2 linked regions of the Drosophila melanogaster genome follow. The protein of the gene in region 2 interacts with the protein of the main gene of each other region in a pairwise test. Each region holds a gene or a part of one and is shown on either strand. Other genes may lie near its edges. The genes, in order: CG2157 and EndoB.

Evidence for each region.
Region 1: the proteins of EndoB (region 2) and CG2157 interact in a two-hybrid assay, tested with the Drosophila melanogaster proteins (one large-scale study listed by BioGRID).

What each region holds. Positions count from the first base shown.
Region 1 is NC_004354.4:10,859,904-10,875,357, reverse strand, and holds CG2157 (uncharacterized protein), read right to left. Parts: upstream 6,075-15,454; 5' UTR 5,979-6,074; coding exon 5,967-5,978; intron 5,622-5,966; coding exon 5,249-5,621; intron 5,176-5,248; coding exon 4,817-5,175; 3' UTR 4,655-4,816; downstream 1-4,654. Other genes in the region: CG1637 (uncharacterized protein), read left to right, coding at 1-117, 188-884; CG2186 (uncharacterized protein), read right to left, coding at 12,575-13,540, 14,268-14,396, 14,461-15,454.
Region 2 is NT_033778.4:19,302,138-19,319,133, reverse strand, and holds EndoB (endophilin B), read left to right. Parts: upstream 1-8,468; 5' UTR 8,469-8,581; coding exon 8,582-8,659; intron 8,660-8,820; coding exon 8,821-9,318; intron 9,319-9,435; coding exon 9,436-9,471; intron 9,472-9,550; coding exon 9,551-9,741; intron 9,742-9,902; coding exon of another isoform or gene 9,903-10,107; intron 10,108-10,320; coding exon 10,321-10,561; intron 10,562-10,618; coding exon 10,619-10,747; 3' UTR 10,748-11,687; downstream 11,688-16,996. Other genes in the region: Rgk1 (Rad, Gem/Kir family member 1), read left to right, coding at 634-735, 795-1,061, 1,498-1,592, 3,796-3,887, 4,381-4,573, 6,004-6,139, 6,209-6,349, 6,420-6,537; Acadvl (Acyl-CoA dehydrogenase very long chain), read right to left, coding at 12,027-13,910; Tab2 (TAK1-associated binding protein 2), read right to left, coding at 15,501-16,192, 16,256-16,459.

The sequences.
Region 1 (15,454 bases), on a different chromosome or scaffold from region 2:
CGCCTACGACATGAACACGAAGAATGCTCGCGTGGGGGATGAGTTTATGCGGCAGATCGAAACGGTGGCTGCCTACCTGCCATACATGGTGGTTCCCGGCAATCACGAGGAGAAGTTGTGAGTAGCTAGTAGAGCAGAGAGTAGAGTGTTTTTTGGTAGAAGCAGGATCTAATTGTTGGTGTTGCAGCAACTTCTCGAACTATCGTGCCCGCTTCAGTATGCCGGGAGGTACGGAGAACATGTTCTACAGCTTCGATCTGGGACCCGTGCACTTCGTGGGCATTAGCACGGAGGTCTACTACTTTCTCAACTATGGTTTAAAGCCGCTGGTATTCCAGTTCGAATGGTTGCGTGAGGATCTGGCCAAGGCCAATCTGCCAGAGAATCGGAACAAGCGTCCGTGGATCATCTTGTACGGTCATCGACCCATGTACTGCAGCAACGAGAACGACAATGACTGCACCCACTCAGAGACTCTCACGCGGGTGGGCTGGCCATTTGTACACATGTTCGGATTGGAGCCGCTGCTTTACGAGTTCGGCGTGGACGTGGCCATTTGGGCGCACGAGCACTCCTACGAGAGACTCTGGCCCATTTACGATTACAAGGTGCGCAATGGAACGCTGAAGGATTCGCCGTACAATGATCCTAGTGCCCCTGTGCACATCGTCACAGGATCCGCCGGCTGCAAGGAGGGAAGAGAACCATTCAAGGGCAAAATACCCGAATGGAGCGCTTTTCACAGCCAGGACTATGGTTACACACGGCTCAAGGCTCACAATCGAACACATATCCATTTCGAGCAGGTGTCCGACGACAAGAACGGCGCCATCATCGATGACTTTTGGTTGGTGAAATCCAAGCATGGAAGCTACCGAAACTAAATAGTCATTCCCAATCTGAACCATAACCTGAGCCGAATCAATTCAAGCTAAAGGAGTCTCTCGAGGCATTACACGCATCAATAGCAACAGGCAGTATTAGTAGCGCACATTCGCCTCGACCTGATTCGATCACAAACTATAGCAATAAGCGTGGCACATTCCTTATCCAAATATCTCAACCCAGCCCGAAACAAACTACAGTTTTATACTTAGCCAATTTAACAAACGCAGCATTTACACATATGCAAGCGCTTTTAAGTGTGCATTTAACATAAGCTGATAAGAACGTAAATGAACTTAGTTTCTTATCTCTGTCGCATGTTACTTGATGTTCAAAAACTGGTACTCGGTAACTGCTGTCTTAAGCAAATTGTTTTTAATGTGTATGGGATGTACTTGATATACTTATTAGGATCAATGTTAAAGGACTAATGGATATGCACCCGATCGGTTTTTATTATCAATAAGTACATGAAATCCGATTACCGGGTTTATTATAGTCACGGCAATCCGATTGTACACTGATTGTTGTTTAAATGCCTAGTATCTTTACAATAAATGTCTTGAACTTTTCATTGTGCTTATTGTTTTGGGATAAAACAATTCAATATCATAAAACTGGGAACAACTCAATTGAGAATTCAACGATCAATCAAATGGTTTGTGAGTGAATCCATTAATAGTTGACTTCATCTTGTAGACAAGTGTTGTAAATATGTGACATGCTCAGTGTTAAGCTCCTAGTTAATCAGTGTGCTTGTGCAGAAACCGTGCTCGACATTGTCGTCACCTGGAACACGCGCGACAACACCAACGAATCAATCTGTGAGTTCGGCATCGATGGACTGCATCAGCGAGTGAAGGCGACGCAAATGCCCACGAAATTCGTGGATGGTGGAGCCAAAAAGGCCACCCAGTATATACATCGTGTGAGTAACGACGCAGCAAGAGTCGCAAACGAAGGCATCTAATCCATGAACCCATCCGAATGCAGGTGACGCTGTCCCACCTGAAACCGAATAGCACCTATCTCTACCACTGTGGCAGTGAGTTGGGCTGGTCCGCCACCTATTGGTTTCGGACGCGATTCGATCACGCCGACTGGTCGCCCTCGTTGGCGATCTACGGCGATATGGGCGTGGTGAATGCGGCATCCCTTCCAGCGCTGCAGCGTGAAACGCAGAGCGGCCAGTACGACGCCATCATCCATGTGGGAGACTTCGCCTACGACATGGACTGGGAAAACGGAGAGGTCGGCGACGAGTTTATGCGCCAGGTGGAGACCATAGCCGCCTACTTACCATATATGGTGTGCGTGGGCAACCACGAGGAGAAGTAGTAAGTGCTACACCACAAGCCAATTGCGATGATGATAATGATGATGACTGATATAAGGACTTTTCCCTTTCAACCCATAGCAACTTTTCGCACTACATCAATCGGTTCAGCATGCCGGGTGGATCGGATAACATGTTCTATAGCTTCGATCTTGGACCGGTGCACTTCATCGGTTTTAGCACAGAAGTCTATTATTTCACTAAGTTCGGGATCAAGCAGATCGTGATGCAGTACGACTGGCTGGAGCGGGATTTGATCGAGGCCAACAAGCCAGAAAACCGGAAGAAGCGTCCCTGGATTATCACATACGGCCATCGGCCCATGTACTGCAGCAATGACAACGGAGATGACTGTGCCAATCATGAGACAATCGTTCGAAAGGGTCTGCCCATGCTGGATTTCTTCGGGCTGGAGCCACTCTTTTATCAGTACGGCGTAGATATTGAATTGTGGGCACACGAGCACTGCTACGAGCGGATGTGGCCCATGTACAACTACACCGTGTTCAATGGATCGCTGGCCGAGCCGTATGTGAATCCCGGTGCACCAATACACATCATTTCGGGAGCTGCCGGCAATCACGAGGGCAGGGAGCCATTCTTCAAGCGCATGCCTCCGTGGAGTGCCTTCCACAGCCAGGACTTTGGGTATCTTCGACTGAAGGCCCACAACGGCACCCATCTACATTTCGAGCAGGTGTCCGATGACAAGAAGGGCGAGGTCATCGATAGTTTCTGGGTGGTCAAGGACAAGCATGGACCGTACCAGTCTGATCTCAACTCAAAAACTTTGTGATATTTTATGTCGTCATATACTAAAGTATTTTAAATTCGGGCACAAATTCGAATGATTTATATTCGCAGCAATCGGACCAAGAAACTATCCTCCTTCTAAACATATATATTTTAATGAAATGTAATTACAGTTATACGCTCAAATAAAACAACTATGTATGAGTGGCAATGATTGTGGCCTACTGATTCTATAGTCTTAAGTACGAAATTCGAGGGGAAACTGTTTTTAAAACGAGATGGTTTTAAATATAAATTGGGTCTTTAAAAGTGAGAATAATCCCAGCTAATGAACTTTGTTGTAGACAATCTTCGTGATATTGTGGTGACATGGTCGACTCGAAGTTCCCCCAACGCCTCGGTGGTTAAATTCTCGCGGAACTATCTAAAAGACGAGCCGATAATGGTGAACGGCACCTGGCAGCGATTCGTCGATGGTGGAAAGAAGGCTCGCACTCAGTACATACACAATGTGGAACTGAAGGATCTGGAGCCGGACACGCGGTACGAGTACAGCTGCGGCAGTCCGCTCGGTTGGTCGGCGGTGTTCAATTTCAAGACGCCACCGGCGGGTGAGAAGTGGTCGCCCTCGTTGGCCATTTTCGGTGACATGGGCAACGAGAATGCCCAGTCGATGGGCCGACTACAGCAGGACACTGAGCGAGGCATGTACGATGCCATCATCCATGTGGGTGACTTTGCCTACGACATGGACACCTCCAACGCTGCCGTGGGTGATGCATTCATGCGCCAGATCGAGTCGGTGGCTGCCTATGTGCCCTACATGGTTTGTCCGGGCAATCACGAGGAGAAGTAGTAAGTATTTGATGATGCCGGTGTGTTAACTATTCAAACCTAACTTACTTTGGCCCATCACAGCAACTTCTCCAACTATCGCGCCCGCTTCAATATGCCCGGCGAAACGGACAGCTTGTGGTACAGCTTCAACTTGGGACCCGTGCACTTTGTCTCCTTCTCCACGGAGGTCTACTACTTCCTCAGCTATGGCTTCAAGTTGCTGACCAAGCAATTCGAGTGGCTGGAACGTGACCTGGCCGAGGCCAATCTGCCCGAGAATCGGGCCAAACGTCCGTGGATCATCACCTACGGTCATCGACCGATGTACTGCAGCGACGACAAGGAGTACGATTGCAATAGCCAACTGGAGACGTACATTCGCCAGGGTCTGCCCATGCTCAAGTGGTTCGGCCTGGAGGATCTGTTCTACAAGCACGGCGTCGACGTGGAGATCTTTGCGCATGAACACTTCTACACTCGCCTGTGGCCAATCTACGACTACAAGGTGTACAATGGCAGTGCCGAGGCGCCATACACTAATCCCAAGGCGCCCATCCAGATCATCACGGGTTCCGCCGGCTGCAAGGAGGAGCGCGAGCCCTTCTCCAACGATTTGCCCATCTGGAATGCCTACCATAGCAATGTAATTGAATGACCTGCTTAATATCAAAACGGAATACTATAATTCTATAATCTCTTTAGGATTACGGATACACCCGCTTGAAGGCACATAATGGCACGCATCTTCACTTCGAGCAGGTGTCCGATGACCAGAACGGCGCCATTGTCGACTCCTTCTGGGTGATCAAGGACAAGCATGGCGCATATCCATCGCCCCAATGAGATTACATGCATATATAAATATATACTTTCTAGTTAAATGACGATTATGATAATGTATTTTTTTGTAGCATCTTTTAATAAAAATAAAGTTAGAAAAAAATATATCGATGAAAAAAAATAAATTCCACTAGCTTAGATCTTGAACGTTGGACCGTGCGGTGTCTAGTAGACGGTTCCCGAGATTCCGGAACCGTAGTTATAGCCCGATCCGATGGGCGGCACTCCGCCCAAAGCGCCCAAGCCGCCGCCCACCACGCTGTTGCCATAGTTGCTCGTATAGTAACTGGATGGATAGCCACCAGCGCCGAATCGGGTGTTGTAGTACGGATACCCAGTGCCGGCTCCAGCGCCCAGCCTGCTGTTGTAGTATGACAGGGCGTATGGATTCGAGTTGTAGGAGCCACCATAACCACTAAGTCCCGATCCATAGCCACCAAGAGCGGATCCATAGCCACCCAAAGCGGATCCATAGCCGCCCAGAGTGGATCCATAGCCTCCGTATCCGGCCACTGCAGCACCATCTGGGGATTGAGAAACAGCGTTGGTATACTACGAGTCTTCGGCAAGAGATTGAGAGTCTTCTTTCAAGCTCACCCTCACCTAATCCACCCAGAGCTCGCGAGCTGTACGGATTGTAGTAGCTGTCCACGCCAACGCCGACGCCACTGCCGTACGCTCCTCCATAGCCGGCTCCCAGGCCAGAGGCATAGCCGCCGTATCCTGCGCCATATCCGGCGCCATAGCCGCCGTATCCCGCGCCGTAGCCCGCTCCGTAGCCACCGTATCCACCAACATAGCGCTTCTCCTGCTTCTTATCCTGCAGCGGGGCATAGCTGCTGGCGGCGCTCACCTGATCCTCCACGGCCACCGCATCCGGTGCCGATGCGGATGCCACCTGCTCCAGGTCAGAATCCGCCGCGTCCTGGGCATAGGCACTCAGCACCAGACTGGTTGCTATCAGGATAAACTGCGCGAGGATAAAGCGTCACCAAAATGTATCATATTCAAAAGATTACCACTTAAAACATATTTCAATAAAGTGAAAAGTACTTTTTAACAATAGTATTTTGTTTAACAAATTCTCAAAAGCAACATAAAACATATTCAAAAATGTAATAAAAAAAATGTAAAAAATATGTATCAACTTTAAACTAAAATTTAAATACACTTTATAATTTAACAATGAACATCAAGCATTTGGAATACAATGCTTTCAAAACTTATTATTCACTTTAACGAACTGTGTTTTTTAAATCATTTTCTAGTTTTTGGGAAATTATAATCCACGAGAGATCCTTTGGCGAGTCCTTACAAAGCACTTCATGTTGTGGCTGCCGGTTTGTGGTGTTCACTGCTTTCTGGTGGCTAACTGCTCCTTCAAGACTATGATGCGCACGCGCCGTTCGACACTTGTCTAATGATTCCCCACCGGGCCGGCAGTCGCTTTTATACCCGCCGAGCCCACTTCCAATCCCAGCGAACTCGAGCCGCGAAGTTGGACGCAACTGTTGCATCCCAGAGATTCGTGTCGCCTTGCTTGCCACCTATGTATGTATGACGCATGCCACTGGACAACGTGTATGCTGATGGGTCTTGGCTTAATCATCAAACATATTAGATTGAATTTATATCCTGGATTAGATAGTTTCCAGAATCAGATGAGCTCTACTTAACCCATTTATGGAACAACTCTGGATCAACTTAGATTGCTAATATTGTATATTAAATACATATTTATAATCTTAACTCTTTTCTTGAAGAAAACAATACCTTTCGAATGATCTACTTATGAAAAGCTGGTTGGGCGTGTTGATGTGTGATCACACATCATTATGAATATTCCCACGATCTGGGGGATCAATTATACCGCCGCCGCTCAGGAGAAGCAATAACAATGATGACAAATGCTAATTGAATCATTAACTTGACCCTGAAACAGCTAATTGGTCAACATAAAACGCGAAAATGCCCAACGATTGCAGCTTTGAAAACAAAGTTTAAAAAAAAAACGTAACAGCAATCATGCGAGTCCAGTTGAAACGATTTAGTTAGATAGATAAATATTGCGGCTAGTACGTGACTCATTTCATGAACAACAGTATCGAATTGGGTTTTCACTTTCCAGCGCTTATTTAAGCCAACTGAAATTGTTAACAAAACATCGCAGAGAAGAAGAGCCAGGCGGATCTGAATGCTTGAATTTCGCCAACAAAGGTGGCAATTGTTAATTTCTTAGAGGCTTTTTGGCCAAGTGCCTAAGCTAAGTATCCCCATTCCAACCAACATTGCTGACACATTTTCTAAAAAACCTAACGGATTGGAGTCGTAACTTCGATTGGGTTGAATGGACTGAATTAGGTTCTACCAATCTGGGCGATAGTTTTAGCATAAATTCAGGGGTATTCCACATTTAAGTACATTTAATCTATAGAGTTTAGTACAAGAAACTAAAAAGTACTCAGATGTTTCAAATAACTTTAATAATAACTTTAGCAAGTGTTTGAATAATAAAGTAGCATTTAAGAACATAACGATCTATATCCGTTTGCCATTTTCCAAAACTGCAAAACTGTAGCTTGTATCTGTGCAGTTGAAGTTACGTGTGCCAATAGCATTGCGATACTTATCCACGGATATTTACGAAATATGTCAAAATAGTTGTCGATGCCATGCTTGTGGATAGCCACATAGTATATACATACGCTTGTCATACCGCCCATATGAGTGGGTTCACATTGTTCGACCCGGCGGGCATGTGAAAAGTGTTAACTGATTCGACTGACTGTATGGATGGATAGATGGTTGGAGGGATGGATGGATAGATGGAGGGATGGATGGAGGGAGGCAACCGAAGCTACTGCCGACTGCTATGAGTTGACTTGGCCATGGGTGCACTTTGGCGATGGCCTGGGAGTTTCTCGTTTTTTTTTTTCTTTTCTTGTGCTCTTACCCCACTGAGACAATGGTTCTTTAATGCCGAGGCCTAAAAGCCCATTACACGGGCAGCCCGTGAATCTCGCGGTAAGTGGTAGCCTCCATTTCTTGGCCAACCCGCGCACACGGGGCGTATGAGTAATCAAGGAAAAGCAAGCACGGTGCAAAAATCAGATTTAGAACTTTGTCAGTTGAGATAGAGCCAGTTAAAAGCATAAAAAAATGTGGAGCAAAACTAGTATAGTGATTTTTTCAAATATCATTTAAGTTGCATATTTCATCTCAGAATTTTAAGACCATTCTAATCCATTATTGTATTCAAGAGTTTTTCTATCTTTGTATATCACTCAGTTCATGTTGTATCTTTTCCATTGAAGTATACGCACCTGTTTTTCGCAGTGCATTCGAAGGGAAGAACCAAATCCCAGATTAGACAGGTAACATTTTCCCCGGGGCGTTGCCATGATTCGTTGTTCTAATTTGCAAAAGCAAATCACGCTCGACGGTGGCAGCAATCTTGCATCATTCATGCCAGTCGCACGCCCACCAATTATATTTACAAACAGATTTAATTATAATTGAACAGAGCGGCTTGGTTAACTGAAAGCAGAAAAACTGAAAACTAAAGCGATCCAAATGCAGCTTTAAAAAAAAAAAAACCGCAAGCAAGGTACATCGAGCAAATGAAGCTGAAAATTATGATGATGCTGACTATGATGACGACGATGATGATGATGATGGGAACTTTGGGGTGGCAGTGGGTCGAAGTGGGCTGCATCTGGGTGGCTACCTTAGCTAATCTCAGACCTGGAGACAATGGTGTGGCGACAACAAATCCACAACAAAGCAAAACAAAACCATGGCCTTTTCCGCTGAACTTGCACTTTGCATAATTGCATATTACCATCAGCCAAGACCAAGAATACTTCACACGATTATCCATCCATGTGCATTGTGCGACTGGCCAAACGACAAAGTCAAGTCCCTCGCTCAAGCGGTGACCACCACCCCCATAATGGATCGTATCCCCAAGCTCCAAGCGACCTTGACCTAAATACTTAAATAATGGTAAATAATATACACCTTGTCTATTATTGCTCCACTGCAGATAATGCAACTCTCTATCAGGATACTTTCAGTTTGTCTTCAGAGTGCGATTCAATTACTATTGCCTACTCTACAGCGCAGTCCATGAAAATAGCACCAATTGAGTTACATATGCATATCAAGGTTGGGGAGATGAATGGGGTTCGGCTCTCGAAATGAATCATCTGCAATTGATTAGACGCGTCTCGTGAATAACTAGATTCGATGTCGCCAGCGATGAGTTCCAGTTCTCATTCACTTCGATTGAATGCGAAAAAAAAACAATGAAAATAGTTTGAAGATGCATGACATATCCATAAATCCCCAGACGAACGAGGCACACATAAATCGCAGCTAGAGAGACAATGCCAGGGGCAAAGTTGTAGAATCAACCCATTCCAATCAGAATCAACCCATTCAAAATGCATTTTCGGTTTGAATGCTGTAAAAAATATACATATACAAATATATACAGGACTGGGTCTCTATATATATCATGTATTCTCATGTATATATCAGTTTATTTAGTCTTCTTCAAAAGTTCTTTGGCGAGCTGCCCGCGGAGCTTCCCTCGTCAAATGGCACCTCGCCCAATCTAACTACTTTCTGTAATTTATTCATTCCTTTTTTCTCATTTTTTTTTTTTTTTTTAATTTTTTGGTTTTTAAGTTGTTGTCATTCTTTTCGTTTCATTTGATTTGATTTTTTTGTACGTTCTTTTTTGTCAATTTTTTCTTTCGATTTGTACAAAGAATAGTGCTGAAAGAAAATTAGGTATAGGTTTTATATATGATTACAATTAAGTTAATATCTGGGTATCTCTGCTCTGCTCTAATGCATGTGCACGCGCGAGACAGAGACACAGCTATTGCGATGGTCAGAGATAGATATAGGTGTCAGCGAGAGAGAGAGAGAGAGAGATAGTTGTCAGAGAGCGAGATAGAGGACTAGGGAATGTTATGGAATAAGGAACATTGGGGGTACAGTTGCGTTCGCCATCGAAAAAAGTTCCAATTGACATTTTTAGGTTAGTTTTAAATGATGGGTATAACACGTGATGGGGAATTGGATTGGGTTAGGAACAGTAGTTTGGCGTGATAACAGGGGCATAAACAATAAGGGGAGGAAAAAAGTTAAGTTACAAACTATAACAAAATCAAACTATTTGTCTAGGACTAACAAATCAAAAATTTTTGGGCGTGTAGAAACAGAGATATTATCGTTCAAAATGCTTAAAATTATAATAAATAAATTTACGGATAGGTTTCGTGCACACATAGAGAGTAACTTTCTAGGTACATATATAGATAACTAACATCGAATAGTGTTTGCATTTCTGCTAGTCGGTTCTTAACTATACACTATACACAGGTAAAATGTATTGGCGATTCGAACTGAAAATGTAAAGCTGGGAAAATGCGGGGAATATTAGATGGTGTTGTCTTGTGTGTGTGTGGGGCCCAGTATCGAAAACTAGTGCCCCGAAAATATAATGCACTTATACACTAAATAGGCATTGATCGCAACGCTCCAAACACTCCACTCCACTCCCGATCCCGCAAAAAACTATACATATATATGGTATATCACACATAAATGACGAATCCCCAAGTAATCTAATCTATTTGACTGAGAATGGAGCGTTGGAGCCTGATCGCAAACCGATTTAACTAGCACTTAATTCTAGTATTTGATTTTAAAGTTTTAGGTTTGTAGTTTGGGGTGTACAAAATAAGAAATTTTTGGGGTAAAACGATCGGGTGGGTAAACAAAATTATTACGAGTATGTTTTGGTGATCTGTGGGTTGGGCCGTAATGGATAGTTGTTATATATCGTAATATATGTATATGCATAATAATAAGAATAATATAAAAATAATCACAGACTCGGATTTGCAAATTGGAATCATTTCAATTTTTGTTTTGTCATTTGCTTGCGCTATTTCGTGTTTTCCACTACGAGTGTTCAGTTTGTTTCGACTTGGTTCTTAAAAAGCTAAAATCACTTGGAATAATTTTTAGATGTTTATACAGTTATGCTGCCGCACGCTTTTATGTGTGCACGTGGTATAATTGGTTTTTATTAATCCATATATTATATCATATTGTGTGTAGCATTACGATTACTAGAGTTATACGTATGTATATACCTAGGCATATACGATTTCTTTATGCGCTTCCCATTAAATCTTATCATTTTCTAGCGTTGCGACCCCTTTTCATCCTCAACAATTACCTTCGCCACACATATTAGATAAATAGATAGATAGTTACATTTGTATCTCTTTGTGTTGTTGTCACATGAATAAATGTGCCACTTACATCAATGCAAAAGTCAAGCTTGTACCGCATTCGGATTCGATGCGTTTTTAATAGAGCGATTTTAGTACATACATTTCATGTCATCTGCATTTGCGATATACCTCTACCTTTTCTTTATCTAGTTAGCTTAGTTACAATAAAAATGACTCATATTAACGTATTCGTTCATTAGCTTATCGACACAATTGGGGTTTCTCGAGTGTTGCAATAGTGTGCAAAGTACAATGCTTACTGTCCAATTACAATGGTTCTTGCAGATCTCTCTATGACTTAAGTATATATATATATATATATATATATATATATATTTATATTTCTCGGGAGCGGGAGTGGCAATAATTTAACAATCTCTTTAGTCTAGGCATTTCGCATTATCTTCGACGCAAATAATCTAAGTGAAGTTTATGGCTGTTGTTCTAGATCGGACAATATGTTCTCAGCTTTCGTAGGAAAGTGTGTGGTATGTTTACATAAATGTGGCTAGCCGAATAGTTCGATTGTATTATGTACAAGTACTTAGTATTACTAGGTATTATCCATCATTGCTCATCATCAATTCTGCGGTTCACCAACGAAGACTTCATTCCGCTGATTACTCTTTAACTGGCCAGTTTTTTAAGTGAGCGATAAGTGTTATATGGTAAGTGGTATGTGGTATCCTATGTACTATGCCATTGTAATTTATGGTTTGATCATTTTGCATTACCAGTTTATCGGTAGCATTCTATGTGTCTGCGTTTTCCAGGCCATTAAGGTATTGCTTTGTGTGTACAAGTACGTTACATGCTGCAATATTTCAAGTTTATTAGTTAAACTAGTTCACAAGCTAACATAGTTTCGTATGTGGTTTATAGTAGTTACAAAGAACACAACAGGACAGACAATAAATTTCATTTACAATCAACGGGGCACAATGTATAAAATAATTCAAATAACTAAAGGTAAATTTAAAGTAAATTCCTAAGAAGCATTTGCACTTCTTAACTTCTCTTTCTTTCAATAAAATCTTTGTAGAATTGTCATCATAAAAAATAGACGCTCAGCTTTTGTGCTTAAAACTAAATTGAAGTATTTATAAATAAATATATACACTTTATGTATATATATATAAATGTATGTAGAGGTGTAAATATTTTTCACTTGATTACATAGGCTAAGGGCTATGAGCATGCACATAGTATGCACATTTGGGTCCTAGTTTGTGTTGCTAAAGTTATATACGGTAATTGTTTTGTTGTCCAGGTCAAGCTTTAAGCATTCCACTTTATCCTACGTTTAAATACAAATAGCGATTAAGAAAACGAAGCACGTTTTAGTCATTGATAAGATTTGTACACTTAAAGCTAAATGAATTTGCATACCGCATGGAGCACGGGGTAGAGACCCTCACGCACACCCACCAATTACATGACATCTAGATATATGTATAATCCGCTATTTATAAAGAAAGCTCAACTATTTATAACTTTTTACCTTAAAGCTAAAGTACTGCTTACTGCACTACTCCCCATCATCGTCGTACATCTATAATCGATAATAGTTATAGAAAACTATATATTCTTAAACTAAATATTCTTATCAATCGTGCTTGAGTACGATGCGGGCGGGCGCCTTGGATCGCTGCTTGTGGCTGCTCCCGCCGCCTCCACCGCTGCTCCCTCCTCCTGAGACGGCCACACGCTTCTCCAGCCTATCGAAGATCCCTCCGCCAGATCCCGAGCTGCTGCTGCCGCCAACGCTTCCTACTCCACCTTTCCGCTGCAGTGCGCTATCCTCTCCACCGCGCCTCCGATCCCGCTGCCTGCCGCTGTGCGACAACTGCTGCTGATCTCCTCCGCTGCTGCTGCTGCCATTGCTGGTCGGCTTGAGCACCACTCGCCGCTGGTTGGAGCTAAAGCTGGGCGCTGATGTCGAGCTGCCGCCACGCATCGCCTTGTGGTTCCGCTTGACCACCAAGGGCTCCGGCGTGGCCGATCTTTTGCTGCTCGCCTTCTGCGGCGGCGGCGATGGCGTGGCCAACAAACGATCCTCCTCGTCCAGCAGCAGGTCATCGTCATCATAGTCCAGCTCCACTTCATCGTCGCTTGGCGTGCCCAGGCGCAGCTTATCGCGCGGCTTCGGCGGTGTGCCGCCGGCCACAGCTCCCGATCCCAATACCACCGTTCTCGCCGGCGCCGCTGCAGTCTGATGATGCTGCTGATGATGATGATGATGCTGCTTAGAGGATGGCGCCAGGTGATCGGTTATACTGCGCTTTGCCTCTGGCGCTATCTTCGCCGCCGTTAGTTGCTTGCGCGCCGCCTGCTGCTGCTGCTGACCTTGGCCTGCCTGAGCATTGGACTGCGATCCCTGTGCCTGCCTGCTGCGTACGCTGCTCGCATCCTGGTCGTCGCGACGCTTCAGCGAGATCACCTTGCGCTCGCCGGCTGATGCGGTTGGCCGATGCTTTGACGCTGCAGGTGTTGGCGCTGCAGATCCTTGTCCGGCGGCCACCTCCTGGTCGTCGCGGGCTGGCGAAGTGTTGTGCTGCTCGGCGCGTTTCTCCTAGAAAGTTTAGTTCGTTTGTGGATTTCTCTTGCTTTCGGATCGCTACAGTAAGCTACATTATTGTAAGGCTAGCTTCGGCGGCCGAAGGATCAAATGCCCTTGCATACACTATATATTTTACAAGATTACCTACACATGCTTTATAAAAATCTTTATAAAATTTATATATTTATTTTATTTTTATTAGCTGTTCATAATATATATTTAGATTTGCGATCTTTTTGGGCTAAATATGGTTAAAAAAAACGCTGAACAAACGTAATTTTAATAGTTTTTACCTACAATTTTTAATACAAAATAATCAATTTTTTTGCTGTAACATTGGAAATAATTGTTCAAAATTTGAATTTTACACCTCGTTAAATTTGAAATAAAATTTCCTATCGATCTGCATTCGAACATAGAAACTTTAATTTTTTGCCAGTTTTCGCAAAAAATTAAACTTAAAAAAATATGTCAAAAATGGATTTCTGAAAATCTGGATTAAAGTTACTTAAACACTAAACCTTGTTTATTAGCTGTAGAAATCAGTAATTTTTTAAGTTCTGTGATCTTTTTGGGCCAAGTTCTTATTAAAACTCCTCTCAAACATATCGAATTTTTGCCAAAACTACTTATGTATATTCTGCTCATATTCTAAACCAACCAGCAAGGGCATCAAAATACTATGGTACAACCTGCACATTTATAAGCTAATAAAATAAGTAAGAGAACAAGGACTTACCTCGTGTAGCTTCTCCTCGGCTGCGCGCCGACGCTTCAGCTCCTTGTCTCGCATGATTTTCTCGCGCAGTTGCTTCTGCTTCTCAATCTCAAGGCGATAGTTGCGGGTCTCCTCGTCCTCGTCGCTGGGCTGCATTCAAAATGTGATATTAATTCAGAGCCAGAGCTGACATTGCATCACTGATTCCACTTACCATACTGCGACTGCCTGTTTCGGAGGGTCGGCCGCGCGGCTCGCCAGAGAATGGATTCCGGGCAGTGCCTCCTCCGGCCGAGCCACTCCTTCGTCGCTTGGGGGGCGCAGCTCCGCTGGATGCTGATCCGCCCGCTCCTTGAGCACTGGCGGTGCTTGCTGCGCCACGATTCTCGTCTCGATCCCGACTCGATGCCCGTCGGAATCCACGGTTTCCAGCCGCCCGATTGGCGCCATATCGTTCACGATCTCGCTCCCGATCCCTTTCACGATCCCTCTCGCGCTCCCGCTCCCGCTCGCGTTCTCTTTCCACGCGCTTAACGGGAGAGTAACTGCGACCACGAGAGCGACTGCGGCTACGTGTTCGCCTCCGTTCGCCTGCCTGGCCGGACGAGGCGGCTCCGGTGGAGGAGCCCGACGACGGTGGCGAGCGTTCCATGCGTCGCTTCTCAATGTACTGCCGATTCTTGTTGATGAACTCCACCTGCTGGCGCAGCAACTCGGCCTCGCTGTTAATGGCGGGCATAAAGTGTGTCTCCTTGATGAACTTGTTGGTAGCCGCTTCGACGCCGCCCTTGAAATTCGGATTGATGAGCACCTTGCTGACCCGGGGCACCGATGATGAGCCCTGCTGCTGCGGCGGTCCATTCGGCTGTTGAGGGGGCTGGCCAGGATTGACGGCCTGCTGTAGGGGATTGCCCGCCTGCTGCGGTGCTGGCTGCTGCTGTGGCGGCTGCTGCGATTGCTGTTGCTGGGGCGGCGGTCCTCGCATTCCCATGCCATTGGCATAGTTCGGCGGTGCGCCGGGCATCATGTGCGGTGGCAGCGTTTGCAGTGGTGGTCGCTGCATGCGCGCATTGTCCCCCTGCGGTCGCCAGCCGTTGTGAGGCCGCATGAACTGCTGCGGATGCTGGGGTGGATGTCCCTGGTCGTAGCCGTACGATGGCGGGGCATTCCGATACAGCGGCGGACGCATGCCCGACTGTTGCTGGTGC
Region 2 (16,996 bases):
TTTTGCATTGCAACAAACTGGCGATGGGAAAAAACGAACGAGAAAAATCCATGATGGGCTCATAACTTTTCAAATTACTCATACGACCTGTTGCCAGTTTGCAAAGTTTTTTTTTCCGTTTTTGTTTCTGTGAAAAATCAGTGGATAAACAAACATTTCGGACTTGCTCGTGGACGCAGTTCCTGCATTTGATTGTCATAAATGAGGTTTTAAATATTTTAAATATTCCACAAACGATGCTGCATTGCATTGAATTGCATTTCATTAGTTGTCGGTCTGTTCAAGAGATTTGGCACTAGAATTATCAATATTTTCCAATTTCTGGCTTGTGGTTAGTTCGTATCGACGCCCAAGGACACTATGCATATGTCCTTTGGCCTGTTGGCATTCACAGTTTCCAAGGACATGGCAGGTGAACGCAGTGAAGCGACTGTTGGTGGCGGCATCGGGTAAGAAATGCATATCTTGATCTCCATTAAACTGCTGTCAACTGCAGTTTTGGTTACAACTGGTATGCCGTTGACTTCTTCCCTTTTTTAACCCCGAGTGACAGAACACGAGGATGTGCATAGAGGACTCGCATTTCTAGTTTGGTTTTTGGTACTAACAAGTTCAACCATGTTCGGATTTCAGATATGGCTCACCACATCACAGCCGCTCGCAATCGGTGAAGATGCCCGGCAGCAGAGCATCCGGAAGGCCAAATCAGCTGTGTCTGCCCCAGCAGAGATCCAGGTGGGTGTCCCACATCCGGTTTAGTCTATATGGTTTTAACCAATTACTCTTGGATTTAGGGTGGCTTCCATGCCGAATACAGGAGTAGAGGAGGAGTACTACAGACTGCGTCACTTCTCGATCACCGGCAAGGGTGTGGTAAATCGCGGTGATTCCCTCAAGAGCCGACGCAGTCGCTCCAACAACAGCGTGGCCAGTTCCAATTCCAGCACGGAGCACCTGACCACCCAGCAGCAGCTTTCCGCCCCCGCATCCGTATCCGCTCGAACTTCGCTGGCTTCCAGCAGGGAGAGCAGTACATCCAATCCGGGCAACGGTCCCTACAGGTGAGTCCGTTTTACGGGGAAAGCTATTACATATTTTTGATTTCGCAAACTTTTTGTAAGACTACTAAGGCTTTAAACATAATATAATTAAATGCGTAAACTGAGATTGGTAATAAATATTATTTGCCATAACAAATTGTGGGTTTCAATCTGAATCAGATACATGTCATTAGTCAATGCCGCCCATTTAAACGTGCATTGTAAATCAGAATATATACATTAACCAGAAAGTCCGGCTCATATTTAAATGCGTTACCCTCTAACCTTTTGAAAACAAAATTCAATGGAACAATCAAAAGGTCAAGAGTCACCTCATTAGCATTGAAATAACAATAGAAACAAGAGCCAATCGACTTCGATCGCTTGGGATAATACAATAGTAACATAAAGAGGTTGACTAATTGGCTTTTTCCGCTTTCTTATTTCACCATTCCAGGGTCCTGATGCTGGGAGGTCCTGCGGTGGGCAAGAGTTCGCTCGTCTCGCAGTTCATGACGTCGGAGTACCTGCACGCCTACGACACGAGCATCGGTGAGTTTGTAGCATGCCCCTCCGGAGATGCTTGCATCCGGATTCCCTATTCCGTATTCCGGATTCCATCCCACCCAAGAGCACTGCATAACCCCCAGTAACCCCTGTATCCTACCGTGTCATTCCATGTCTGTCTGCTGGTTGTGAGCGAGTGCTTTGGCTTTACTTGATATTATTTCATAATTCATTTGTTGGCACTACCTCCGTTTTCCTAGTCGATGTTGTAGCTGCCTTGCTGTATAATTATGTTGGCTATTATATTTGTTTCTGATTTCGTTGCTCTGTGTCTGTGCCGTCTGTTTGCCCCCGTATCATATGGCTTTTTATGATTCCGTGTTCGGAAAGTTTATATTCCATAGCTCTGTACTCGTACTCCCCGCTTTTTGTTTGGTTTCTTTTTGCTTTTGGCGTTTTATGATAGCGCCGAGCTATTGCCACCGCCCGATGGGTCAACACAAATTGGCATAAAGCATAACAAACGCTGCTGCAATGAAAATAAATTCGGATCTTTTTTTTGGGTTTTTGCGACTCTAGCTAGGAATGGAAAAAAAAAAAAAAACTGAAAACTGTTTCATTCTTTGGCTGGGAGTCAATGAAAAGATTCGAATAAACATTTCTATTGGCACAAAGGAAATATGGGGGAAAAAAATATTCATAAAACAATAAATGTTGGCAGCGAATGGAAAAATTAAATGGAAATAATTTTGTCGTTCGTCGCTTAGTTGGAAATTTTTAGTGCAATATTTAACGATTTTTGTTTGTGATCAAATCCAAATTCCCTAAGATATATACAAATATAGCAAACGGTCCCAGTGTAAATGCTTATCCAATACACAAAACCTCATAACGAAAATCCGCAATTGTATCATACTGTTTTATAAAGCAATGATAATTTGTTCTGTTTCTCTCCATTCCGAATATCAACCAATCATACAACTCAATGTCTCAAAACTGACCCTACAAAACTCGAAAAACTCAACAACAACAACCGAATTAACAACAACATCTTTGTACATACAACAACAAATTGTGGTTGTAATCAGATCTAGGCAACTGTGATATACGCATTCTAATTGAAAAAGCCGCCGACGGTAAAAGCAACCAGCAACTTAACAAAATAATTATTAACCTTGTTAATTATGCTACTACTTAATATTTATTCAAATATCTCTATACACCTAATTGAAACGCTTTTCGACTCTCCAATTAAATTAACCAAACTCAACAAACTAGCCAAACACTTGATCCACAATTGCATTAGCCCTGCGCTTGAAAGCTAATAAAAAAAACTCCGAAACACACCTGGTTCCGCCCACTAGCCACGCCCCGGAAGTTAGAACACTCCTCCCTCCCCACCGAAAAACCGAAAAACAAATATAACACCAACTAGCCAATATATAGAGCATATAATATATAGTCCCATAGACCGCTCCACCATCGATTGCCATTGTTTCGCTTGTGATTTATGGCCAGCCAGCCAGTCGATGGACGGCAGCCTTGAGGGCAGGCATTCGATATGATTGAAATGATTATGCACATCACAAACACAACTAATGAAATTTAATTAATGATATGCCGGGCTCTGCAATTATTGATTGCCACCTGGGGATGGGAACGGAATAATGGTCGTGCCATATATTCAAAACTATAAATGCCACAACTTCAACTATAGCTATAGCATTTTTAATTAAAAAAGAGGCGCACAGAGAGCCCATTAAATGAATAATAATTGTGAAAACACTCAGTCCAACCAAAACAAAGTCACATTTACCCAGCCACCTTCCTTTCACCTTCCATTTACCCATTTGGTCAGATGACGACTTTTTCGCCCAGTCCATGTTGCGCGTCCATTTCGTTGCACACTTGTGGGGGCCAATTTAATTTCCCATACATTAGCATACATTTCGGGGCAGTCCGGTGTGGACATCCGGTGAATCCCCGCAGCTGTGTTCATTCAACTTGGCTAATGGATATATCCAAATACTCGATACTCGCATGCAGTGGACGACACTTGTAGATAAGCCCATCACAGAAAACATCCAACTAAAACACCTGCACATACTCTTTGTTTCTGCACTTTCGAGAATAGATGTTGTAAATCATTTCATTGCTTGACATTTGAGCTATCGAACTTAAGAGTATAGTTTGGCGCACATGCTAATATATCGGTGCTAACCTCGATTTTCCCCTTCAATGTGTGCAGATGATGAGTCCGGCGAGAAGGCCGTTTCAGTATTACTCAGTGGCGAAGAGTCCGAGCTGATTTTCATCGACCATGGATACACCGAAATGACTGTAAGTACCTTACAAAACACTCATCATCCTCTCAAGGGTATGGGACAGTGGTCACAATAACGCAGGGATATGCATAATTTAAAAGCAATACATTTTTAAATGGAAATAAATTTCAAATATTTGAAAACAATTTTAGTTTTTTTTTGTACATTTTTTTTTTTTAACATCTATCTATTTGCATAAAAGGCAAGTGCTTTTCATAGTGCACTTTAAACAAATTGATTCTCTAATGGACTTAGGTGCTTTCGAAACACCCATTATTATGCAGCCTCCAAAGCCTTGTTGCCATTATTGTGACCAGTGCTATTATATATACATACATACCTGCTCATCCATCCGGCGCCCTGCACTCTATATGTGACATTTCATAATGCCATTAGCATGCACGGCCATCAACTTACCCACACAGAAGCGGGAAATCACACTTTGGCAAAGCCCTCAACCTCACTCAATGTCACCTCGGTGTCACTGCCATTTCTCCATCCTTTCACAGCCGGATGAGTGCCTGACCAACTACGATCCGCACGGTTACTGCGTCATCTATTCGGCCGCGGACAGGAGCAGCTTCAGTGTGGCGGAGCAGGTGCTGCAGGTGCTCTGGACCAATCAGAACATCGCCCAGAAGGCAGTCATTCTAGTATCGAACAAGGCCGACCTGGCCAGGAGTCGACTGGTCACCTCTGAAGGTAAGCGACACGTTATAATGCTAATAAATATGTGGGAGGATTTCGGTTATCTTCCCCTCCCCCATTAACACTGGAAAGTGCGCTCGATTGGGTCTGTTACGAATAGATATACGAGTATATATAAACATAACGATATATAGTTCGAGTGTATAAACAGAACCGTCGTGCAGGGTCAGCTGAAGAGTTTGCCAAGCGGAAGTCATCCGGCGGTTCGCCTACCCAAACAGCCGGAATCTTAAGTGGAGGTGATTCCGCACCCCCCCCCCCCCTTGAAGGTCGACAGTTTCGGGGGTCCTTTTTGTCTACTCAAGTGCTTTCACTTGACTTTTATATCAGATTCCCTTTAAGACCAAGGTAACTCGGGCGCTTTCATCTAAGTAATTCAATATTTTCCGTTAAATTACGTTTGTTATTATGAAAGTAAGGGTGGGTGGTGACTGGAAGGGTTCCCCAGTTCTGCCAGTAAAATGGCAGTGGAGGGAAATTGTTTCAGCGCAAAATTGATTACATTTCGTCCCGTGTGGCATGTGTTCCGCTCAAGGCTTAAGGCCCATAAGCCTATTGTTGTAAACAGGGCGACAACAGGACCTACATTCGCCACCCACTACCCAACGCCCACATCCAACGCACAATCTTGAATTTGGGCGGAGAGTTCCTGTCCACCTAATGCGACGCCCTAATTTCATAAAGTATTTATAGAATTTTGTATGCCTCTGGCAATAATAAAATGAGCGCTTGGCCCAGAAATGTCTGGATAAAAGATATATTCATAAATCTATACATTGTCAAGCTGATTGGAAAAATATGAATAAAACCTAAGTGCGTCACAGGTGATTCTGCCACTCCACAGACTCTAAAAAACCTTTTGAAAATTTAATGTATTTTCCATTTCCACCTCATAACTTTTTGGCATACTAATGACGCACTAATTATTCAATTGGGGTAAATATTGCCCGATGTCGCAAAACTTTTGTTTACCTTTAATTAGGATCCTATTTCATCTGTAATCGAAAATCGGAAGGTTAAGAGCTTAAGTCTTTAAGCGCCCAGGAAAAGGCTGGTCTGCCTATCAAATAAATATATGTAACTTTCGTCACATTGTTAATAAAAATGTGAGGCTGTCATAAAATTTGCACCAGGAGGGTCACCATACGCATGGTGTACCGAACTTTGATGCTTCAGATTTTACGAGTTGTGTACACATCTGTGGACAAGACGTGACGGATGGGATGGGGATTCCCCGCATCATGTTTAGATACAAATCCCAGCCGAGGATGAGGTTTTACGACCAACTCCGAGTTAACTAAGCGAGACCATTCGATTTGATTAACTGGGATGATGGGCGGGCAACTAAGCTGGAATGTGATGCTTTTGGCCATAATTTTTACACATTTTCACTTAACCTCTCCATCGTGCCATTTTCATTACAGAGGGCAAGGCCATGGCCACCGCCTACGATTGTAAATTCATCGAGACGTCGGTGGGCATTAATCACAATGTGGACGAGCTGCTGGTGGGTCTGTTATCACAGATACGACTCAAGCTGGAGAATCCCGAAAAGTCCAGGTTCGTCGAGAGCTACTCAGAAGTAGTCTTTATTTTATTCACTTATGTTTATTATGTTTCTTGCCACAGGGATCTGTTCCGAAAGCGTTCGATTCGAAAGTCAAAGAGACGCGCCTGCTCGCCACTGAATGCCGGATGCCTGAATGCCAATACCCCTCTGGGTCCGCTGGGGGAGGCGGTGGCCACGCCCCCGGGCAGTGCCCAAAGCAGGTGAGTCATCGCCACGCCGACAGGCCATCAGAATCAGGCAGTAATGCTGATGCACCCTACTCTTTTGCAGTCCCCGCAAATACCGTGGATCAAGGACCTCCACCAGCCTGAAAGTCAAGGGACTTTTGGGCCGCGTGTGGACTCGGGACTCCAAGTCGAAGAGCTGCGAGAATCTGCATGTACTCTAAGCACAGAGATTATCCAAAGTGTAACCCACAAGTTTCCTATAGAGTATGCAAGATCCTAAGTTAAAGAAGAAACAGACTCGACTACTACCGGGGGTATTATTCCCAACTGTACATATTGTGTATAATTTTAGTCTTAATTTACGCTAGTCACTTCCTCCATTAATCATTGTATATAGTTTGTCTAAATATAAAACTATTATTTGTAATTGGTTTTTTATGCTCTTTCGTTTTCCTCTAAGCATGAGTTGGGATAATTTTGAATGCTCGTTGTAATACGGCGACTGGAATAAATTAGTTATATTTTTGATTGAAAGAAATCGTAATACAAAGGAATCCAAATAAAAAGCAATAATTTTTAAAATGAGAAAATAATATTTTACCCTTGTTCGTGGACGAATGAATACCAATTGTACTGATTTTTTGAAGATATGGCGCTTGTCCGCCGAATGAAACTTATTGTTAATTATATACGTGTAGTTATACATTTGTAATGGCATTGAATCTCGTTTTAAAATGGCATAAATATTCACATGAATGTTGATTGAATTAAAAGTTCATAATATAATTGATCGATTGCAAACCAGAAACTATATTAACCACATTGTGCAATTTTGCTTAAATAGACCTAGGGATTATTATGCCGTAATTGTTAAACAAAACCATTTTTTTAAACAAAGAAGCCCATCGTGCACCCACAATCCGCACGCCCTAGGTTTCTCAAGTTAGTCGGGACCATTTCAAAATTAATCAAAGATAGCAGAAATACGAAAGAAACACTAGATTTACACAAGGGCTACTTTTAGGTTCATGTCAGCGTAGTTTTACATTAATGCAATATGTGATTTTACACATGGTCCACTAAATCAAGAGCCTAAGCAAAACCATTTTGTTAACGTGTGCAATGCGACCTGCTGTATCAAATATTGAGGTCGGATCGAGAATTTGTAGATTTTTAACTATTAATGTGAACACTAGTAGTGTAGGGCAAATCACACAACTATTCCATAACAATCTAGATGTCCATTAAATGTATTATAAATGTCCATTAAGTATTATAATCACCAACAATTGCAGCACAATGGAATTTAACGGATTTGGAACATTCAAGGAAACCCCCAAATAATACGTGCATCCTAACATGTGTGTAAGATATCCGATCTATAACAGATAGTTAAAATATATACATATAGCTGTAATTGATTTTTGTCCAGAACTCTGTGTATTATTCTCGCTCAACATGAATGAATATGAATTCGAGCCGAAAACTATATAGGAAAGTGATAAAAGCACACTCGATTTTGCACAGATTGTCATATGATGTATAAGGAAAAGCGAAAGTCAGCCATAAATGTAAGAAGCAGCAGAGTGGTGAAAAGTTATCAATTGAATGCATGTTTTAATTTTTCCGCTCCGATAATATATGTCTAATGAGTGTGTATTAAATGTGAAAAGTTAAATTTAAATGTTTTCCAAATCGTGTTTTATTTTGGGGGTTTAATTACAAGGTGCACGGTCTGCAAGCAGGGTAAGTAAAAATTAGTTTAAATGTTGAAAAATGATTTTCATCCATATCATGATTAATTGACTATGTTATATTGTACAAACGTTCACATTTTTTAAAGCTTGCCATAGTAGCTTTCGTTACTATATAGATACTCACCACACTTGATTTACCGAAACTGTTAGCTTACATAGTATGTAGGTATGTATTTGCTAACAGACAGCTTAATTGTTATCTACTTTGATGTCGTGGCATTTGTTTAATAGAAGTAAATTTCGTTTCACCATTTACATGAAGAATAAAGAAGAAAAAGCTATGATAAATTAAAAATTAATACAATTTTACATTTTACTCAATAGTAGTATTTCCAATTAGAACTCTGTTCCAGTTGGAATTCTTCGGTATATTTGGTATATTCCTGGGAGAAACAATGGGTCACACTACGAAGTAGAGGAAATAAATACAAACAAATTGGGCTGTGTAGCGGAATTTAAATTTAAACTTTATCAACGGCAGTGTTAATTAGCGAACCTCTCGGCAAAAATGAATATAAATCTGCCGAATTTCAATGTGAAGAACCTGGTGAAGGAGGCGGGCAGCACAATATCACGAGTGGTGCAGGTGAACAAATCAATGAATTTGGGTGGCTGAAAAAAAAGCGGGTGGTGGTGAACTTTCGGTGGTTGGGCAAATGACAGATGTACCCCAAACCAATCTCAAGCACTTTCGTTGTTTCTTTGCCCTTTTCAACGGCTCTCCATTGTTTTCAATGACCTTTTCAGCTCACGGAGGAGAAACTGGGCACCACGGAGCGCACCGAGTACGACTTGCACTTCCAGAATCTCGCCGAGCGGGCTGATGTGACCAAGACATGGACGGAGAAGATAGTGCGCGACACAGAGTCGGTGCTGATACCCAATCCTCAGAACCGGGTCGAAGACTTCATCTTCGAGAAGATTGAAAAGTCGAAGCCAAAAAGGTTGAGCAACCTAGAGCACCTGGCTCTGGACATGATCGAGGCTGGGGGCGATTTCGGGCAGGATTTACCCTATGGTCAGGCTCTGATCAAGGTCGGCCAAGCGGAACAGAAACTGGGCCAGTGCGAGCACGACTTTATAGCCACCTCGGGCATTTGCTTTACACAGCCGTTGCGCAAGTTCCTAGACGGCGAAATGAAGACAATTGGCAAGGAGCGAGGCATCCTGGAGACCAAGCGCCTGGATCTGGACGCCTGCAAGAACAGGGTGAAGAAAGCGCGCAGCATGCTGGGTCAGCAATCGGTAAGTGGGTGGGATTTGATGGGGTTTCCTTATTGCAAGGGGGTATGATTGATTGGGTTTCGTAATGGCTTTTTCACTCACGGTCTTTTTCTGCCCTCTGCTGCCCGGAATTTTTAGAAAGATGGCATCTCGCCAGAGGCCGTCTTGGAACAGGTATCAAAACCTTGACCGAGCTCGTGCTCTAGATTTATGGCTAATCAATGAGCCAATTTCTAATTGCGATTTTTTCTAGGCGGAACGGGACTTGCGGGTGGCTCAGGCCGAGTTCGACCGGCAGGCGGAGATTACCAAGCTGCTGCTGGACGGGATCAGCACATCGCAGGCATCTCATTTGCGCCACTTGCACGCCTTCATCCAGACGCAAGTGCGCTACTACAAGCAGTGCGGCGATGTCATGGAGCAGCTGCAGCGTGAACTGGCCAAGTAAGTAGTAGGCGATCGATAGAGAATGACTGTGACTTCCACGTAGGCACCAAACGAATCTTTTCTTGCACACCAAAACACCATGTCCCATCCTTGATGAAACCCGTGGTCCCTTCTGGTGGTCTCACTGTGCGTTATGATATCTGCTTGTGGTCTTACAGAATGCAGCATCCCAAGCCACGCCTGCGTATCAATAGCGAAGACGTTGATTGTGGGCCTCCCAGCTCGGTGTCGATGCATTCTTGTGATTCCGATTCATTAGGGGGGATAGCCCTAGATAGCGATCCAGATCCCGATTTGGACAAGTCGCTTACGAATCTGCTCGAAGACTTTCACATAGAATTCGATACGACAGCCGTCTCCACAGTTTAGGGGTCTTGTTATTGTGATCTTCATATCGAATCGGATTCCATGCCCAGTTAACATTAGCATTTAATTTCAAATCATACGTACTAGATAGGTTGCTGTTATCGGTAGTTGTTGCACTTTGTAAAGTCAGGTTTCAGCAGCTCATCTCTCCATTTAGAGCTCGCTATCAAATCGAATCAAAAACTCATTAAACTCTGCATCTTCCATCAGCTTGGGAGGCCCCACGCCATACATTCCGCTCGACGTGAACGAGGCCAGTGCCAGCAAGTCCAACATATCGTCCGGAGCCGCAGCCCGTGGTCCTGGCAACAATCACTCTGCCAATATGGCTGCCACCGGCCACAAGCCTAATCAGCCCATGCACGTCAGCACGGATCAGATGCAGAGGGCACGCGTCCTTTGCTCCTACGACGCCAAGGATCACACCGAGCTTAATTTGAGCGCCAATGAGGTAAAGTAAAGAACAAATAATATCCTAAGCAATGCTTATATATAACTCATTTTTCAGGTGATCTTCGTGACGGAGTGCTCACCAGTAAACGAGGATTACATGTACGGAAAACAGGGTCTATTGAAGGGTCTGGTGCCACGCGCATTTGTTGAAATGCTCGACGAAGAGCACGATGTCACCCTCTAAGCCCTCCAGCAATTTGTTCAGCAATAATCAATCATTCAATAATCTCAAGCAAAATTAATGAACAAGAAAATACTCCAAGTACGGCAATACTCATATGTTAAGAAAGCAGACACGATCGAGAGAAGGGAACGGCAATTGGACAATTAAAGGATGCGGCCAAAGCGGCATTTGGCACTAGCAAGAGAGTACAATAATTTATTAGAATATACATACATAAATATATACAAGGCATAATATACATACATGAGCGTGTTGGTTAGTAAAAGCATTGTAGATTAGCCTTCGGTAATAATCAAACCCAGATCCATGCCCAAAGAGCTACGCTACTCCGTTGCACAGATCACGCTGTAATCAAATATGCATTCTGGCTGCCTGAAAAACCGTCAAGTTATACATGTAAATTTATGCAATTCCAAACATTATGATTGTTAAATCTAATCGCATATCTAAAGAGAAAGTGCTGTTTTATTAAGCTTCTCTACACTCGAAAAAGTATTATATATGTGTTATGTTTGTCAATATCTTAGTTAACAAGCGAAATTCTCTGTGCTTTACTATATATCCTATAATTATAAACGTAAGTATGAAATTGTTAATCCTATTATCTATATATTCAGCGAAGGCGTTTCCAATTATTATCTAATATATTTGCTGCAATTATTATGTTACCAAATTTTTCGTGCAATTTTTGAAAGTCAATTAAAAGAATATTGCTTGTTACATTTAAGGCAAAACTTTGAAACACCAAGGCGCTTGATAGCTAAAAAATAACAGATAAATATTGTTGAAAACGTACAATACAATAATTAAAAAGTAAACAACGATGATTTTTAGGTTTTCAGCAAACAAACAATGTTGTAATATGAAAAGCGAATTTTTAAACACCAACTATTATACTACATAATTACAAATATATGATCAAAATTAAAACAACAAAACCAAATTAAGTTCGATTTATTTTGTATTTCATTAGATTGCCCGTCCAGCTTTGAAAATCAGATCGAGATGGTAAGTGCTTTAAATTATATTTGTGAGCTTTTCTACGTAAAAGGAATAGAGGTGATTTGATTTCAAGAGTTCTATTATCTGAGTTCATTTATAGATGATCAAGTATTTGTTACTCATTTGTTCAATGATAGTGCATAATCACTTTAGAGAGATTTCGTATGTGAGAGCGAGGTGAACTTTAGACTTCAGCGATTATTATTTACAAGACTTTATTGGCATTCATACTAGGTTAACAATCAAGGGCTTAAAATTCGTATAAAAGTATATTGGTCTAGTTTTGATCCAAGATTCCAGTCGTAGTCACACCGCCATTTTCCAAAGTGGTCTTGGCGATGGTGGAAATCTTCTCATTGAGAGACCTATGATGACTGGATGTGGCAGCCTGTAGATTCTTAATCACTCGATCAGATGCCTGAATAGTGAGTGCCTTGGTCATGTTGAGCTCGTGTTGTGCAGTTGGCAGATTCAGATTGACTGCACGGGATGATCGCGATTGCGTCACAACCATTGCATAAATATCAATGGCTGCATTTGCCAGTCGTGTTAGCAAAATTTGTTCGTTAACTATGTTTTTGTTGTATCGCAGCAATAGTTCTTCCACCGATTGTCCAAAAAGATCAATACAATGGGCCGTTTTTTTGGCATAAGGCAAGAGTTCACCCACTACGTGGCCACTCAGATCGGTGCCGCCCAAGCCGACAGTGGAGGCCGCCCGCCTGGAGGCCTCTTTGAAAATCAGTCCCAAATTGGCCGAGGGATTCTTGAATGCGCGCTGCAGTTCCTTAAGGTGGGATCCCGCATATTGAATGCCAGTCAGGGCAATGAACAGCCGGAGAATGTCATTGGTGCCCTCGAATATGCGGAAAATGCGCAGGTCACGCAGGACTCGTTCCAATCCATTATCCACCATGTATCCCATGCCGCCCAGAATTTGTATAGCCTCGTCGCAAACATACCACGCGCTCTCCGAAGCATAGATCTTCGAGATGGCGGCTTCCAAGTGATAGTCCTTGCTGCCGGCATCCATGTTTTGTGAAATAGTAAACGCCATCGACTCCGTGGCGTACTGCAGAATGTTCATCTGAGCCAATTTCTCTTGGATGGATCCATAGTTCTTTAGTTTTTGACCAAACTGAACTCGATTGTTGGCATGCTCGGTGGCCTGTTCGATGCATTTCTTCATTGTTCCCGATAGCGTGGCGCCCATTCCAAACCGACCGTTGTTCAATATGTTCATGGCAACCTTGAATCCATCACCTTCCTTGCCGAGCACATTTTCAATTGGAATCTTTACATCTTCGAAATACACTTCGGCCGTGTTCGATGCCTTGATGCCCATTTTCTTCTCCGGTGGTCCATTGGTTACACCTCCGAAGGATCGTTCCACAATGAAGGCAGTGACCTTGTCCTTCTTCTCGCCAGTCTTCGGGTCCACCTGCTCGGTCTGTGCGAAAACGGTCATAATTTCGGCAATTCCGCCATTGGAAATCCAGATTTTTGAGCCATTAAGGACGTAGTGCTTTCCATCGGCACTCTTCACGGCACGGCATCGAATGGAACCCGCATCAGATCCGGAGCTGGGTTCCGTAAGGGCAAAGGCAGCGTACACCTGCTCGGCGGCCACCTTGGGCAGGTACTTCTCCTTCTGCTCGGGGGTGCCGTACAGCAGTATTCCCTTGAAGCCAATACTCTGATGGGCGCCAATCGTGATGCCCAGTCCCAGATCGTTGACACCCACAATGGCGCACAGCCTGCCGTACTGGGTATTGTTCAGACCGAGGCCACCGAATTCAGATGGCACTTGGATTCCGAAGGCCCCGAGCTCCCACAGAGCCGTCGAAGTGGTGTCATCTATTTTAGAGTTGGCATCGTTGCGGGCAGCGTCATTGACATCGGAGAAGAAACGCTCGAACGGATCTATCAGGCTGTTGGTCAGCTCCTTCTGCTCCGCGGTCAGGACATCCGGATACGGGAACACTTGGCTTGACACCAGTGATCCACGGAAGATGTTGGCCATAAAGGACTCATTCTCACTTGCCTTTTCCTTGCTGCGATTGCTTTCCGCCCCCAGTTTGGGACTGTGCGTCGCTATTTGCCTGCAAAGCGAGGCGTTTCCTGCCAGGTACCTGGTACTTTGGATCGTGTGCCTCCACATAGTTTCGAAATTGTTTGGTAAATCGCCCTTTGGACCGAGAGTCTGCAGTGTGCCCACATTCCCGATCACCCACGACGACGTCATCACCGCGACTTGCGCAGTCCAAATCTGGTATATTTCCTCAGAGCACCGAGTACCGGAGTATTCATCGTTTGGCATATTAAATTCAGTTGGTTTCCAAATCACTTAAAGAGTTTTTTAAATTTCGAAAAGTTTCTGGGGGAGTGTTTTTAGTCGTATTACTTGTTTTATATAACTGTTACTGCTTTTGAGAATTTTTGTATTGTATAGAACTTATCCAAAAATCGTTTAGCATCTTCAATTCTCTTTGTTTTCAAATCTCTGGAAGCGTTTTTAGAAATACAAAATGTATTTGAACCTAACTTAAATCTCGATCTGGATGTGGAAGAGAAGCATTTTGAACCAGATATTATAAATCTGATCCATCTGATGAAGAAGATTAAAGAAATGGTTTTGGAGTAATATTATTATCAATCCTGCTGTATATTGCAAATAGTTAATAATTTACCGCTGTTGATAAATACTAACTGCCCCCAACTCCAAATTAAAACACAAATGACGCTCTTAAACTGCAGTTTAATGTCGATAAATATGCGGCTTTTGAAAAGCTTACAAAAGTTCCCTTGTCGGTTGACCTTTTCTTTCTAAATCCTAACTCATTTCTGTTCAGTTAAATAAATATTTACAAAATGTACACGGTTTTCCATTACAATTAATAATATCTAGTTTCAGTTGATGCGACGTTGCTTAAAGTCTTTTCTTATCTAGTATCGATAATAAATTAATTGCTGCCAGCAGCATTTTTGCTAAATAGAATAGTTCCTCAAATCTTTTTACAATTCCTTAGGATAAGTTACCGTAGACTAAAGCGAAATTCAGTTGCAGAATTCAGATATGTATCTCTGGAGCTGGAGCTGTCTATGTTCTCATGGTGAGCGTTTGGCCGACTGTCATGATAGAATCCAGGAGTGTATAATACCTGCACATCGAAGATGATCAATTAATCCAGTTGGGCAATTATTTATTTATCTACTTACGATTTTCGCCCGGCGATAGCGTTATATGTATGTCCTCACGGCTCAGAACAGGGGCTAAAAGTAAACATTTGGCCAAAGCCCAGACACATGTATTTTTGCTTTTTACCAATAAAACGTGTAAAGCAACAACTTGCGAAGCTTGTGTAAATATTTAAATAACGTTCTTTATTTACTTTTGAGCGGGCTAAAAATAATAAACTCTGTTTCTCGTTGGCTTAATGCTAGTTTAACGGTTAGAGGATATTGTTAAATTAAACGGCCTGAGGCTGAGGCGATTGCATTTAATGTACATACATAAATCGAATATGTTAAAATAATTTAAAAAGGCCGCGCTTAAGCAATTCGTTTCCGTTCGCTGTTGTTTTCGTTTCGCACATGTCTTTCAGGTGGAGCCATGCAGTGGATAATGAACCTGCCGCCTACTAGTTTAAATGCTATCACAGTTTCAAAGTCGAGCATGCAAGAACAACAGTCAGGAGCTAGCTCATGCACGATAAGAGAACTTTGTTATCGTTTGGTGCAGCTTTTTGGGTTATGTATGCAGAGCGTACGGCTGCTGGGACGGCTGCTGTTGCTGCTCAATGCTGCCGGGTGGCGTGGCAGCAGCAGCAGCGGCCCCGCCTCCACTGGGAACAATGCGTATCATACCCGGCTGGATCCTAACGTTCTCACAGGCCTCACAAATATTTAGCTGTGGATGGTTGCGGAATGTACACATGTTGCAGGCCCACGAGTCCAGCGTCTCCTCCTCCTCATCCACATCGGAGTCGGACAGGAATTCTTCCTCCTGTTGTGGCTGCGGCTGCTGTTGCTGCTGCATCTGGTGTTGTAGCTGCTGTTGCTGCTGCATCTGCTGTTGTAACTGCTGCTGTCGCTGCTGCTGCAGATATTGCTGGAACTGATAGTACTGGGCGTACGTCGGTGGCGGCTCCTGCTGCAGCTGTAACAGTTGCTGTTGACTCTGCATCTGGGGCGTTAAACAGGCCGAGGTGGGAGCACTGCTGTGGTGCTGCCCAAAGTCCTGCACCGGCTGGGAGATGGGTGCTGCCGGCACCGAGTGCAGACGTAGTGAACTGGGCGGCGCCTGGACGCGAGCACTTTGACGCTGACGCGGGAATGGCTGTGGCTGTTGCTGCGGCTGCTGCTGTGAAGCATTGCTGGCTGGTAACAGGTGCTGGCGGTTCGTGGGATTGGCCGCCGGACCAGGGCCATTCGCCTGCGGTTCTGTGGATATAAGAGGGGCAGAGTCAGCATAGAAAAACCGATATACTTTGCAATCATCCTTACCATTTAAGCAGTCAAGCAGCCGATTACAGTCCTCAGTCAGTTGCTTGATATCTCTATCCAGTCTTTCAGATTCCCCCACCGGCACCGGCTCAGTCAGGATGTTGATCTCCTGCTCCAGGACGAGCAGGCGCTTCTTGTTGTCCCTCAGTGCATTGGCCAGCTTGTCGCGACGCTGCTTCTGACGCTCGATAGTGGCGGCACGAGCTGAAGTAGATAGAGAGAAGAAAAGCTGATCAATCGATTTGCTGACTGTGGAATGTGTAGCTCCGTTGGCCTGGCAACAAATGATTGCCTTGCGGCATTTCGAATTTCCAAATATTCCTCCCCGCGGCTAGATTTATTTTTCTGTCTAACGCCTCCCATTTTATTACTCTGTTTTGTTGCTAAAAATATTTACCCCACCAAACGCCTGTCTGCCGCAGAGTGAAAGGGGTTCATAAACAGAATTTATATTTAAATAGATAAATTTAGTTAAAATGCGCAAGCAAGCACAACCAAAAATCAATCTAATAATAATTTATTCCTACGAAAAAAAAGGTAAAAATAAATGAATACAAAAAACACACAGACAAAGTCTTTCGATGCATTTTGTGTTTGGCTTTGGGCGACTGTTCATGTGAATATTTTTAGACGCTTGATAGATTTCCAACGGAAATAGCCAACAGGGCAGTGGGCCAAGGGATCTCTGAATATGTCACATCATTATGTGCGATTCGCTGGCATCTTAATTGATAAATTATT